2 linked regions of the Arabidopsis thaliana genome follow. The protein of the gene in region 2 interacts with the protein of the main gene of each other region in a biochemical or structural test. Each region holds a gene or a part of one and is shown on either strand. Other genes may lie near its edges.

Evidence for each region.
Region 1: the proteins of IAA28 (region 2) and AFB5 form a complex in vitro, tested with the Arabidopsis thaliana proteins (one study listed by BioGRID).

What each region holds. Positions count from the first base shown.
Region 1 is NC_003076.8:20,333,397-20,340,450, reverse strand, and holds AFB5 (auxin F-box protein 5), read left to right. Parts: upstream 1-3,779; 5' UTR 3,780-3,919; coding exon 3,920-4,521; intron 4,522-4,611; coding exon 4,612-5,110; intron 5,111-5,272; coding exon 5,273-6,031; 3' UTR 6,032-6,554; downstream 6,555-7,054. Other genes in the region: AT5G49990 (Xanthine/uracil permease family protein), read left to right, coding at 1-151, 278-378, 463-538, 625-684, 829-1,013, 1,144-1,240, 1,482-1,568, 1,684-1,742 and 3 more.
Region 2 is NC_003076.8:9,027,630-9,035,671, reverse strand, and holds IAA28 (indole-3-acetic acid inducible 28), read right to left. Parts: upstream 2,469-8,042; 5' UTR 2,193-2,468; coding exon 2,065-2,192; intron 1,874-2,064; coding exon 1,562-1,873; intron 1,299-1,561; coding exon 1,234-1,298; intron 1,141-1,233; coding exon 1,118-1,140; 3' UTR 532-1,117; downstream 1-531. Other genes in the region: NADP-ME3 (NADP-malic enzyme 3), read right to left, coding at 7,412-7,500, 7,641-7,769. UniProt on the Arabidopsis thaliana protein: Aux/IAA proteins are short-lived transcriptional factors that function as repressors of early auxin response genes at low auxin concentrations.

The sequences.
Region 1 (7,054 bases), about 11 Mb from region 2:
AATATTGTTTGTAGCTGGATTGAACACACTGCTCCAAACTGTGTTTGGAACTAGATTACCTGCTGTTATTGGAGCATCTTATACATTTGTCCCGGTTACTATCTCAATCATGCTTTCTGGGAGATTCAATGACGTTGCAGATCCAGTTGAGGTTCGTAGCTCACACTTATCCCCTAATTGAATTGTGTTATTATCTATTTAGTGTACTATCACTATCAATAAAGTTATGCTTGAATATGAAGTTTTACTCTAAATTACCTTTTTGATACCTTATCAGCGATTTAAGAGGATAATTCGGGCAACCCAAGGTGCTCTTATTGTTGCTTCAACTCTTCAAATTATCCTTGGCTTCAGTGGCCTTTGGCGTAATGTTGTAAGGTCAGTCTTTGAGCTACATTAGACTCAAATCTTGTTCCACTGTGTCAGGTTAAAGAATATGATATTGAACTTCTGTTCGTCCAGGTTCTTAAGTCCACTATCTGCTGCTCCTTTGGTTGGATTAGTTGGTTATGGCCTGTACGAGTTAGGTTTTCCCGGTGTAAGTCTCTTTGTTCTGTAAATGGGAACAGATAAACTAAATTATATCAACCTAGTGGAATCTTGATTCTTTGTTATTTTGGCCAGGTTGCTAAGTGTATTGAGATTGGACTGCCTGGGCTTATTATTCTCATACTAATATCACAGGTAATTGTAGGTAAAGATTCATAACTGGTAGCAATTTGCAGCCGGCTCATCTGTTCTCATTGCATAAGTTATTGATCCGGATGTGTTCTTCCAGTATGTTGATGTTTCTAATCATCTGGGTCATACTTTTTGCTGGTTTTGTAGTACATGCCCCATGTTATAAAAGGAGGAAAACATGTGTTTGCTCGCTTTGCTGTCATATTTTCTGTGGCGATAGTATGGCTTTATGCTTTCTTTCTTACACTTGGTGGTGCCTATAATGGTGTTGGGACAGATACTCAAAGAAGCTGTCGGACTGATCGCGCTGGGCTTATAAGTGCTGCTCCATGGTAAGAATTTCAGAACAAGGCTTGAACATTGAATGTCTCGCTGAGTTATGTTAGCAAAAAAGTATTTTCTTTAATGACCTGTCAGTGAATACAAGTGTGGCTTAGCATTTTACGCTTATTAATTGTGCAGGATAAGAGTTCCGTGGCCTTTCCAATGGGGAGCACCATTGTTTGATGCTGGTGAAGCATTTGCCATGATGATGGCTTCTTTTGTTGCTCTTGTTGAGGTTTGTTTCACTCATCTTCACCTTTTTTAAATGACATTAGACAATTATTTATGATATGCATAGATTTTCATATCCATTTATATAGAAAGGCTGTCCTTAATAGATGAATTTCATAGGTTGCATACTCATTAACTTTTAAAGTCAATGAGACTCTCTCTTCATTCTTTCGAATTTTCTTGCTCTTTGGTTTAATCTCATCTTGCTTACTCATTATGTTGACTTGTTTGTCAACAAAAAACAGTCCACAGGTGCTTTTATTGCCGTCTCAAGATATGCTAGTGCCACAATGCCGCCACCTTCTGTTATCAGCCGCGGGGTTGGTTGGCAGGTAAATACTCACTTCATAAGCTTCATTTTACAAATACCATCTCGAGGTTTTCTCGGGGCAAGCAAGTGGCCATTTATCTAACGTTGTGCCTCAACTATGTTCTCTTCTGGTTTAGGGAGTTGCAATTTTAATCTCAGGGTTGTTCGGAACTGGTATAGGGTCTTCAGTTTCTGTGTAAGACCTCCTATCCTTTTCCCAAATCTAGGACATGAGCTGATTTTGAATGGTGTGGTGAGTTTGTTTTCACATGAATGCAGCGAGAATGCGGGTCTGCTGGCACTAACAAAAATTGGTAGCAGGAGAGTTGTTCAAATATCTGCAGGCTTTATGATATTCTTCTCAATTCTTGGTAAGCTTGTCTCTCTCACAAAAATTCATTAAGAATTGAAGTGGACTACGTTAAGTAATCGTCTTAAATAAAACTAATGCAGGGAAGTTCGGGGCAGTATTTGCATCCATACCTTCTCCTATCATAGCTGCCTTGTACTGTCTCTTCTTTGCGTATGTAGGTAAGTATTGTTTCTTTTTTAGCTTGGTTTAGATTGAAGCAATTTGGTTCAGATTGGTTTGCTTACCAACATATAGAGCTAGAGACTTGTTTTAGCTATGAGCATCTTTAATACAAAAACTGTTGTATAGGTGCTGGAGGACTGAGTTTGCTGCAATTCTGCAACCTGAATAGCTTCAGGACATTATTCATACTGGGCTTCTCAATCTTCCTAGGCCTATCAATTCCACAATATTTCAACGAGCACACAGCCATCAAAGGCTATGGTCCAGTTCATACCGGGGCAAGATGGTTCAACGACATGGTCAATGTGCCCTTCTCGTCCAAGGCCTTTGTGGGAGGATGTGTGGCTTACTTGTTGGACACGACGCTTCACAAGAAAGATGGTTCGATCAGGAAAGACCGAGGTAAACACTGGTGGGACAGATTCTGGACTTTCAAGAACGACCCGAGAACAGAAGAGTTCTATGCTCTTCCGTTCAACCTCAACAAATATTTCCCTTCTGTCTGAAAAAAAATCCTTCCAAACTTTATGGAATGCTGTTTTGCTAGTTTTGTGTCCCTTAGGAGGACACACCTTATCTAGCTAGGTTTTATGTGCATATTCGGTGAGGAGACTATAAAACGCAACTAGATATTATAACCCAAAGTGTTAAGTAACATTTTAGAAATATTAATGTGATGTTTCTTCTATGTTTAGATGTTTTGCATTAAAGATGATACTCGTTTTGCCAAATTTAGAACTAGAGTATGTATGCTCTGTTTTAATACAAATGATTAAAAGAGAAAATTTTGTGAGTTTTGGAGGCTTTTCGATTCTAATTCTATAACAAAAAAAATTTCCTACAAAAATTTGTAATGCTAGATTTGACGTTGAAACTCTTATGATATACTTTTGAAGATAAGTAGGGGTTCATGTGCTTCATTCTCTGTCGTCCATTTAAACACTTCTTTGGTTGCATATAACTAGTTGATAGGAAGTTAACGATAACTAAAAGTCTAAAACAGATGGTTAGCCACAACGATGAGTATTTGCACACAAAAAACAGAGCCTCAATGATGAATGGGTTTTGTATTTAGTTGTGTTATACTGTATTTGTTTTGTTTGATTGGTAGAATAATATGTGCTTGTTTGTGGCACATATATAAATACATTTTTGACTGATAAAATTTAAAGACGTCATTAGCTAAATCGGTTACCACTTACCACCTTAGGTTAAGGTATAAGAAGTTATAAACTATTGTGAGTTACTTAATAATAATCTACGGATCAAAAATGTTAGAATCCAAAAAAGTGCACTAGTTCGAAATCATTTATGCGGGTCTATACATATAATTCGTAGGAGGTTACTTGAAATGATCCCAACCAATTTGTTCATATTATCTATGCTTAGTGATTTGGTTTAAGACAAAAAAAATTACCCTAACCAATATGGTTAAATTCTCAACTTATCTCGAAAAAAGGGTAGGCAAGTGTCCTACACTATAGAAATGGATAATGTTGATTTTATTGTTTTCTAATTAAAACATTGCTAAAATAGAGATCTGAAGAAAATAAAGAGGACGAAACTGTAAAGTGTAAAAACATTGATGGAGACAAGAAAGCAGAAAAAAAGAGTTACATTTTACTTTCTAGTAAGAAAAAAAAAACATGAATATTAATTATTTTTGTACATAAATATAAGAAGACAAAACAGAAAATTAAAAATAAAAAATAATCCCCAAATAATGGAGACGAAGTGGAGAGAGAAAGCTCCCACTCTCTCACACCCCAAAGCTTCTTCTTCTTCTTCCTCTTCTTCCTCTTCCTCTTCTCTAATCTGAATCCAAAGCCTCTCTCTTTATGACACAAGATCGCTCAGAAATGTCTGAAGATGACGATGACCAACAATCTCCACCGTTGGATCTACCCTCTACCGCCATAGCTGATCCTTGCTCATCTTCCTCTTCACCAAACAAATCTCGTAACTGTATCTCAAATTCTCAAACTTTCCCTGACCATGTTCTCGAAAACGTACTTGAGAACGTTCTTCAGTTCCTAGATTCAAGATGTGACCGTAACGCTGCTTCTCTAGTTTGCAAATCTTGGTGGCGTGTTGAAGCTTTGACTCGATCTGAGGTTTTTATTGGTAACTGTTACGCTCTTTCTCCGGCGAGGTTGACTCAGAGATTCAAGCGTGTTAGGTCTCTTGTGCTGAAAGGGAAACCTAGGTTTGCTGATTTCAATCTCATGCCTCCTGATTGGGGTGCTAATTTTGCTCCTTGGGTTTCTACTATGGCTCAAGCTTATCCTTGTCTTGAGAAAGTTGATTTGAAGAGGATGTTTGTTACTGATGATGATTTAGCTCTTCTTGCTGACTCTTTTCCTGGGTTTAAAGAGCTTATCTTGGTTTGTTGTGAAGGTTTTGGTACTAGTGGTATCTCTATTGTTGCCAACAAGTGCAGGTAAATGTTACAACTTATTGGATATGAAAATGCTATCTTTGAGTAATGTTTTGATAGTTATGAACTTATTGGATATTAATTTGTTTTCAGAAAGCTGAAAGTGCTTGATTTGATTGAGTCTGAGGTCACGGATGATGAAGTGGATTGGATCTCTTGTTTCCCTGAGGATGTAACTTGTTTGGAGTCTTTAGCTTTTGACTGTGTGGAAGCTCCTATCAATTTTAAGGCGCTTGAGGGTCTTGTTGCTAGGTCACCGTTCTTGAAGAAACTTAGGCTAAACAGGTTTGTGTCTCTTGTGGAGCTACATCGTCTGCTACTTGGAGCTCCACAGCTTACTAGTCTTGGGACTGGTTCATTTAGCCATGATGAGGAACCTCAGAGTGAGCAAGAACCAGATTATGCTGCTGCATTTCGTGCTTGTAAATCTGTAGTTTGCTTGTCAGGGTTTAGAGAGTTGATGCCGGAGTATCTTCCAGCTATCTTTCCGGTGTGCGCTAATCTCACCTCCCTGAACTTCAGTTATGCTAACATTTCTCCTGACATGTTCAAGCCCATCATACTCAATTGCCACAAACTCCAGGTGTTCTGGGTATGTATCCTTCTTGATCTATGTCTTCATGGCTTTATTAAGTTATATGTGACTTAACTCTAGTGACCGTATTGTTTGTGTTAGATGGATAGAATGAATAAACTTGATATTAGTTGTGTAAGGAACTTGAGTAAAATGCATGACTTGAACTTTACAATGCAGGCCCTTGATTCAATATGTGATGAAGGACTACAGGCAGTTGCAGCCACTTGCAAGGAACTCCGTGAACTCAGGATCTTCCCTTTTGATCCTCGGGAAGACAGTGAAGGTCCTGTCTCTGAATTAGGCCTCCAAGCAATCTCCGAGGGTTGTAGGAAACTAGAATCTATTCTCTACTTTTGCCAGCGCATGACTAATGCCGCTGTGATAGCCATGTCAGAGAACTGTCCAGAGCTTACTGTGTTTAGGCTGTGCATAATGGGTCGACATAGGCCTGACCATGTAACAGGAAAGCCTATGGACGAGGGATTTGGTGCCATTGTTAAAAACTGCAAGAAGCTAACTCGCCTTGCAGTGTCGGGATTGCTGACAGATCAAGCTTTTAGGTATATGGGTGAGTATGGGAAATTGGTCCGTACGCTTTCAGTAGCTTTTGCAGGGGACAGTGACATGGCTCTGAGACATGTCCTAGAAGGTTGCCCTAGACTGCAGAAACTTGAGATAAGGGACAGTCCCTTTGGAGATGTTGCATTACGGTCTGGTATGCATCGCTATTACAACATGAGGTTTGTTTGGATGTCAGCATGTAGCTTGTCTAAGGGATGCTGCAAGGATATTGCACGAGCAATGCCGAATCTAGTTGTGGAAGTAATTGGATCGGATGATGATGATGACAATAGGGATTATGTCGAGACTTTATACATGTATCGGTCTCTTGATGGTCCAAGGAATGATGCACCAAAGTTCGTCACGATTTTATAGAACGAGGAGCATTTCCGTGTTTCCGTTTTTTAAGACGGGAATGAAATGGGTAAGTGTAGGAAGCTCAGATGATGATGGTGGTGGCATCAGAGGCACACTACATGATTGTTGATGATGAATGATGGTGGTTGGGACTTGGGAGGAATGCAAGATTGTTGTATCATTATTTTCTTTTTTTATTTTTGGGTTCAAAAGATGTTATTTGGGTGGTTAGGTGGAACAGTGGATGTATGTTTTGGGAGCATCGGTGTTAGTTAGACAGCTGAGTTGGTTCTAATAAGCTGCACTTTTGGCTCTCTCTAGTTGTTGTTGTTGAGAAACTAATGAGACATCTCTCTCTTTTGTCTTTCCCATTTTTAATTAATTTTGAGATATTTCATCTTAATCTGTTTAAATTATGTCATTTGTCAGCAAACTATAATGTAACTTCAAGAAAAGATCATTTTGATTCGATTCGATTATTTGGCTTCGTTCGGTTAAAATGTGGTACGCGTAACTAAAATGTAGGGTGAGGGAAAGTGTGGTGGTGGAGAGATATGAGCTAAGGTTCTTATCCAAAGGAAGACCTCTCCTTTTGCCTTTTGTTGACAAGCCATCTTTGTCCCCAAAAGACTACATATTTTCAACTGACAAGAGACCCATCATTTATTTCTTAAAGGTCATAACCAAAACTGAAATAATGCAGAGGATGGTGACAAAAACATATGATGGTGGTGGATTAGAGATAATTTGGAAAAAGGGGGCTTAGATATTAGGATTGATGTGATCATCTTACCTACTCATTAAACCACTTAACCCCAATGTTTTTTATGCTCCCATCATTTCATCCTTTATCATCCTACGGTCACCATTCATCCAACTTTCCATCTCCATTCCCTCTCCTTCCATATACTATTACATAAATAAATAAGATATTGTCTTAGTTTGTTGGTTACATGCATTTGTCCCTTACATAGAATATGTCTTCTTCTGTTCAACTTCAGTTGGACGGTGATATTAGCCACTACCATTTGGGAAGCATTT
Region 2 (8,042 bases):
TATATTTTTGAAGAAAAAAAGTTTGAAAGAAAGTTGTGAGACACAAAATTTATAGGAGAATTTTTAAATTTTAAATTTTATTTACTAATTTTAAATTCATTATTTCTTTTAAAATAATGTTTTTTTACCTATCTCGACATAATTGAGTTTTTCTTTGGATCATCAATTAGTAGAGGTAATCGGACCATTTTCCAAGTTGGATTAACGGGTCAGCGAATGTTCAACCTCTGATAGACTGATACTATGTTAAGTTTCATAGATTACTAATTCCAAAACCAATTGACAATAAGTAAAAACTCATATAAATATATATATATATATATATATATATATATATTTATATTAATGAAGTCTAAAGTCGTTTTCACCATCTGAGTTCGAGTAGTATTAGCCACCAAAATTTAAGTAATTTAACATGGTTTTTCCATACTCCATAATCAATTTTTGGGTGTATGAAATTTTTAAAATTATATGAGTTATAAAAAAATAAAGTATCTTTCTCCCTACTATCTTTACTCTAAATACTATTTTAAGATATTACTCGAGTTAATTACATGTTATACCGAAATAATTCATGAACATAACAAGATTACAGTTCATGAAATAAATGGTTTGTCTTTTGTGAAATAAACAATTGGTACTCATGTGTGTTACAAAACAACAATTTTTTTTGGATGGTGTTATAAAACTCGAACCCACCAAACTTGGATAGCCTCTTGTATCTATTTCTCTATTATTTCGGGTAATCTTTACTCATACATAGTAAACAGGCTCTCTGGATTTTTACCTCTCTGAAAAAAACATAAAATGAGTCGGTTTGATTTCGCTAATTAAATACCATTTTCCCTACTAAAAAACGAAACGAAGGCATGAATCATATCAGGCATTGTAATCAACTTACGTGCTTACACTATTTTTATACACACGATAACATACTAACCCCCGATTTCTTAAACGAACAGCATATTTACAACCAAAACAAGAAATAACATAGCAAGCAAAAACCTAGTACATAAGTGAAAAAGAAAACCAGTAAATCAAAGCCAAACCCCATTAGTTTCCACAAAAATTACATTAAAAACAAACCATCGAACTGATGATTTTGGCCAACCTCTCTCTATTCCTTGCCATGTTTTCTAGCTGTGAAAAAATAAATAAATATATAAGTTAATTTCAAGGCAGTAATTAAGTGATGAGATGTATGAAAAAGTTTCGTAAGAATTGTAATCTTACGTGAGAGTGAGAAGGCGTGGGAGGTCTTTAAAACATGCAACCTCTTTACAGTAGATACAAACATCCTAACAAATAAAGTAAACTATATCATTAATATGTCCAATGATTCAAATTATTATCAGATAAATATCCAAAAATATGACCTTTAAAGGAAAATAATAATCTGATGAGAAATGGCCAAACTCTTTTTAGGAACTCATACTAAAAATATTTGTTAAATTCGACAAAAACAAAAGTAGATAGATATAAAATGAATTTTTGATAAAGTAAGTTCATATTCAGTTCCAGAAAAAAAAATGGAATTAGTTTTGTTTGATTTAAAACTTACTCCCAAGGAACATCCCCGACCAGAACTTTATCTCCTTCAGTGTCTTCGTAGACCAAAGTGTATTGTCTGTTTAGATCCCACGAATCTTTCTTAGAGAAGAGTTGGTCAACGGCATGTGAAAGCTGTTGGTAGTTGTTATAAGCTGAAAGGTTGACTTTTCTTCCTATTGGAACTCCTTCCATGTTGATCTTAACGTACAATTCCTTCTCTTCATCACTCTCCTTCTTCTTCATCTCCTCCTTTAGTTGTGCCGTTAGGTTTCTCCGGGATGATCTCACCGGCGGCCATCCCACCACTGGAGCTACCTCAACCCTGTTTTAGCCATATCTAGTTATAACATATACACAAATACTTTTTGATAACTAGATACCGAAACCCAAACTAATCTCCGAAAACTGTAGAATTACCAGGATTTTGTTTTTTATTTTTATTTTATTATCATATAAGACATCTACAATGAACAAGAATGATTCAAATCATTCATGAGAAGAGATTAAGAGAACCTGTTATTGGAAAGGAATGATGTTTCTTTGGTCGAGCTTTTTTGTTTAGATCCATTGATGTTGTTGTTGGAAGTGAATTGGTGACAAGGAGGAGCTAGCCTTAGCTCCAATCTCTTTTCTTCTTCCATTTTTCTAAGTTTGTGTTGTGTTTTTGGTGTTGGGGAGTATTATTATATGGGTGGTTGGCAAGGAACTACAATCCCAATCTTTTTATAAAAGTAGTCTCTTTATATTTTCTAATGAAAAGAGATTTTATTTTGAATTAATAACCACCTAACAGATCCTACTTGTATGGTTTCCGTATGTCAAAAATGCGTTTACATACGTGTATGATTCTACGAATGTGATGCGGATTGATGGGAGACACACATATATTATTTACAACGATTACTATTATATAAAGAGAATAAATTTATATGATGATCATTAGAAAAATCCAATAGACTAATTTAGAGTTATAGGTAGGTGGTTATCAAATTAAAAACCCACTTAGAATATATGGTAACATGGTTCATAGCCGTGTGGGGTCTCATACTACCGAATAACTCTGATTAATTACAAAACATATGATTCCAAAAATCTTAGATGTAATCACCAAATTATTACGCTGTCTAGACGTGTCCATTATCATTCTAATTCGATCCAAAAAGATGTGGGTAACCGAAAATTACCAAAGAACTAAAATGCTACCATAGCACCAAAGTCAAAATGAATATCCAACACATACACATAAACCAATTTAAACAAAGAGATATATAAATAACAGTGATTAGTAATACCCCTTTATTAGCTAGTGACATGAATTAAAATCATATTGAAAAATGAAAATGAATGCTATTCTTACTTAGAAAATGAAAACTATAATCATATAAACTATGTACAATTGCTTCTCTTATGCATGACATTTGTAACACATGTATTTTAGAAAATTCATGTATGTCACCGTGACTCATGAGACAAAGAAATGTATCATGCATGGTTGTGTCATCATGTGATCATCAACATAGTCATCATATGATCATCTCCACACCCATTCTTGGAGAGTAGAGGCCGACATAGAAAAGGAAACAAGAAAGAGGAAAGAGATTCCTAGGCATGCTTAAATGAGTACCTACCAATAAAAGGAGTAAAGTAGTAGGTTTTCGTTTACTAACCTTCTTCTGTTTATTTTTATTTGATATATAAGTACTGCAAATATTAATTGTATGTATACTTAGAATTCCACTACAAATTCTCTCTTTTTTCACGAAAAGTCCACTACCAACTTGGTTTTTGTTACTCTAATTTGGCCTCCATAATGTTTGTCCTTTTTTTCAAGTTACATAATCGATTGATTTACGGAAATTGCCAACCCATGAAAAGTCATCTTAAACATAATCAAGTATAACTTTAGAAATATATCAAGATGGTTTAAGGATCTTTCAACTCAATCTTAAAAAAACTTAATAGCTATGGCATATAATCAAATAAGCTGTAATTTGATTAGTGAAAATAACTAAAATGGGTCAACGCTCAAAATACTACAAATAAAACTGTTGAAATAGACACATAAAATTTGTGGCTATTTCACAGTTTCTTATAGTTGAATTGGTTTATACTTATCTTGTGTCTTTTGTCTAGAAATTTGTGGCAATCTAGAAATTCTCTTTTGTCTTTTGACCTTTTTTCATGGGTCATCACCTATTTGTTTTATTCTTTTTAACTCGGGGCAAAACAATTTCTTCAGCCGATTTATATTAATTAACCGAGAGTCCGAGACCAATATACCATGACTAATCATCACACTAATAATGACAGAGCTTATAGTGTAATTTTTACTTGATTCTGACCCTGCACATACGTGTATATAAATATAATGGAATACATTTTTAGTTAAAAATATTATAGTGTATAAATTATAATATGCATAGAACAGTGTACAGTGTTAATTATGATAAAATAGCTAACTTTTTTTATTAATTTATATTATTTATATTTTATTTATATTTTGCATGGTAAATATATTGTTAGATTTGTTTGGATTTGCTGAATATATAGAGATATTTGGAAAATCTGTGTATTTTTGTTAGTTTGATGTATATATAAATTGATTGTTTTTGTTTGAAATTTGATCAATTAGATGATATAATGTAAATTTAACTCCGCGGTACACCGTTGGTCGATTTTTTGTAACTAAAAATTCAAATTTTAAGATATAGTTGTTTTGTAAATATTGTTTATTTTGTTTAGTGTTTAAGATTATATAATTATGTTATAGTTATTAATTCTAAGATTTTACTCGTAGATTATCGTCCCGTATTAATATCAACCCAAACTCGTTCCACCATATAACTTCATTCCGTAAAATGAAAATCATTTTGTTATTTTTAAATATTGTTATTCTAATATATATAAAAATCGACGGATCGACATGTGGTACATCTTGGATTAATATATTTAAAAATAATTTGTGATTTACAAATTTATGATATTGTAGTATATAAAACCAATTTTTAGTGTATACCTTTCAATAAGATGTAGTTTTTATAATTAAAGTATAATAGTATTTGGTCTTTATGTTAAATAATAGTATTTGGTTTTTTTATAAACTATTAAATTAGTTGATTTTAGTTAAAAATAAAAAATTAAATTAAGTTATATTTGTTTTGTTTATTGTTTAAGATTGTATAACTATAATCTAGTTTCTTATAATCTAGTGTTGACCCTGAAACAAAAATCCATAAGAATACGCATAGATGGATAGTAATATTAGAAGATAAACATCATTAGAATATGAAGTACTTTACTTATGAATCTCTATATATTGTTTTAAAGAATCGATATTCTAGATTGATTGTGAGGCAATGTGAATGTATGCATAACATTTATAATTATAAGAGATGGATTGTACGGAAAATTAGATTTTAATTTGGATTCAATCTTAGCTTTACTGAATAAACTAATCTGAATTGCGTTTTTTTTCAATCTAAAATTTACTATAATCTCAACAATTTTGGTATTTTTTGATCAAACTTATCCTTATGCATTATCGCAAATATGGTAGTTATTATTGTTCGAATACAATTATTGATCTGTCAAAATAATCATATTACTATTTGTTCTTAAAAAAAAGTCATTCAAATTTAAAAGAAAAAATATTTTTGGTGTGAATCAATATTTTCTCATTTTGAATATTTGCATTAAAAATTTTAAACATTGGTATTTTAAACTCTGTTTTATTGTTTAAAAAAAAATCAAATCTAGAAGAATGAATATTCTAAAAGCTTGTATCTATTATAATACGTTTAAAAATATATTTTCTTTCATATAATTCAAATTTAGCTTAGCGATATATTTTTAAAATAATGAAAATTACATGTTTAAAAAAATCCTTTAAAAGTTTATATCATTTAAATTCTAATTAAAATGTTAAATATTTGAATCTATACTGATAATATCTTCTAGATATTTACAAATCTAAAATCCAAAAATTATCTTTTGAATATGCTAAATCATAACTAAAATCGTATTTTTATGTGTACTAATGAGAAACAATTAACATAGTTTTGTTAAAGAAATTGTTTAAAATCTAAACTAAATGATAATTTGTTATTAAATTAGATTAAAGTTTCCGAATTATCTAATAACATATTACCAAAATAAATAAATTTTCATATATACAATTCGAATTAAAATAGCCTGATATGTTATGGAAATGTTTTTAAATGATTTCCAAAAATATCGGGTAGTTATGAATTTATTGATTTTAAATTCAATTTTTTAAAAGAACAAAATCCAAGATATTTATTTAGTTGTTGTAGTTGTTAATTTACTAAATTACCTATGCAAAGATTCATTTAGTTAATTTTAAACTACTCTTAGAATGTTGTAGTTCATACAATGCTTTCCAATTAATAATATAGATTAGTTTGTTGTCTTGTTATAACTCGAATTTAGTTTAGAAATATGTGTGTTACTTTGTTAACAACATAAAATAATTTATATGATGCGTAGGTTAATGCTAACTAATCTGAGAAACTAAATTTATCTATGCTCAATCATACATTATCTAATAATTTTAGAAAAATATATGTACGAATCAATATATAATATATTTCAAAACATTTTGGTAGAAATAATGTATAAATAATACAAATTTTCAAATTAAGAGTTATATAAATTTTATCAGCTTTTTGTTAGCTAAACAATATAAAAAGAATTTTAAACATCTAAAATCCAATTAACTTAAACATTTTATCAACGTAATTTTAGACGGATAAATCTCTATATTGTTATTTTTATAGCAAAACAAATAAAAATAAAAATAAAAATAAAATGGCAAATAATATGTTCCAAAAGAAGAAGTTATGATGAACATCTTGGTACTAAACTACTAATACTCGGTACACATTTAGGCATGCCTCTCATTTTGAAAGAAAAAGGTTAAGAACCAGTATAGATGTTCAATGAATGTATAACCATTCTAACAAAAAGAAATCAAACAATCATCATTATCATAAATAACTTTGCTACTAATAGAGGGCCACCACTTGCAAATTTACCTTTTTATCTACCAATTTATTGTTATTTATTTATCTTTTCTTGACTTTTAAGATTAATGATGGATGGGATCATTGACTTTGCAATGATTATAATTTTAGGCCCAAAATCACTTCAAATATTCTCTTTTACACTCCTTTGCGCTTTATTCTTTTCCCTTTTAATATATTTTTTGAATAAATACTTTTTAATATATTATAAAGATATATAAGACTTTATATTAATTATGGAGATTATTACGGATTTTGTCATTTTCCTTACAAAATTTACGAATTTGCCAGTTTTATTATTTGAATAGTTTAAATTTACGATTTGTTTTTGCTAAAATACATACTTTATAACAAATACTAAATTTTAAAAACAAAAGTAACCAACTAAACTCAAACATCACATGTGAAACGCTTTGTCAATCCTATTTTTATAGCTTAAAGACAAATCCACAAAATTTTAGTGAAAGTGGCAAATTCACAAATGATACTCCAAACAATGACAAATTTTATCATTTTTCTAAATCTATTTTTTCTTTTCATTAACTGTATTATTTCCCCCATTATTTCGTCTCATTTGTGTTCCACTGCAGATTTACCTAAATTAAATTTATTTAATGTCCGGAAAACGCCATAACCTAACACGCGTACGGCAAAGAAATGAGTAATGGATTATTTCACAATTCATAAAAGTTAATAAGGTTTCATTATTTAAAGTTAAAGCAAAAGTATAAATAGTTTAGAAGTTGTCGTATATAGAAAGCACCAAAACTGAAAAGCAAAAAGTAAAAAGCTGAGCCAAAAATGTTAAAAAGAATGTTTTAACGGAAGTTTCTGTAGACAGGACTGTACATGCAGCTCTCTGCCATCTTTACGAGGTCCTTAGGACGAGGCAGATTCGATGCCAGTCCTGCAAAACCAACAACAACAACAACAACAACAACAACAACAACAACATGTACATGACATAAGATTTTTGCCATGGAGATTTTTTTTTTTGGACTGATCCTATTTTTAATATGATCAAAAAACAAGAATTATGAAACTAACCGAGTTCGTAGGTTTTGGCTCCCACACTGGCTGCAATGTTAGCAGAGATCTTTCTGATGTTTGCAAAAGGCGGATAGATCAGTCCGTTCGCAAAATTCTCTTCCGTCACTTGGGAGGCCAGCGCTTCCGCTGATAGAACAAATAGTTTAAAAACACAAATGGTCTTAATAGTAATAGTGAAATTTTTCGTGACAAATGATCTAGATAATGTTTCGTGATTATTGGCGGATTTTTAATTGACTAATAAGCGAAATAAATGAAAGACTATGAACCGGAATAACAAAAAAAATATCTTCTAAAACAACTAAAAATTATATGGCAGGTTAAGTATGGAAACAAAGTAACAAACTTATGAGAAAAGAGTTGTATTTTAGCTTTTAGGCTAGTACCATAAAACCATTT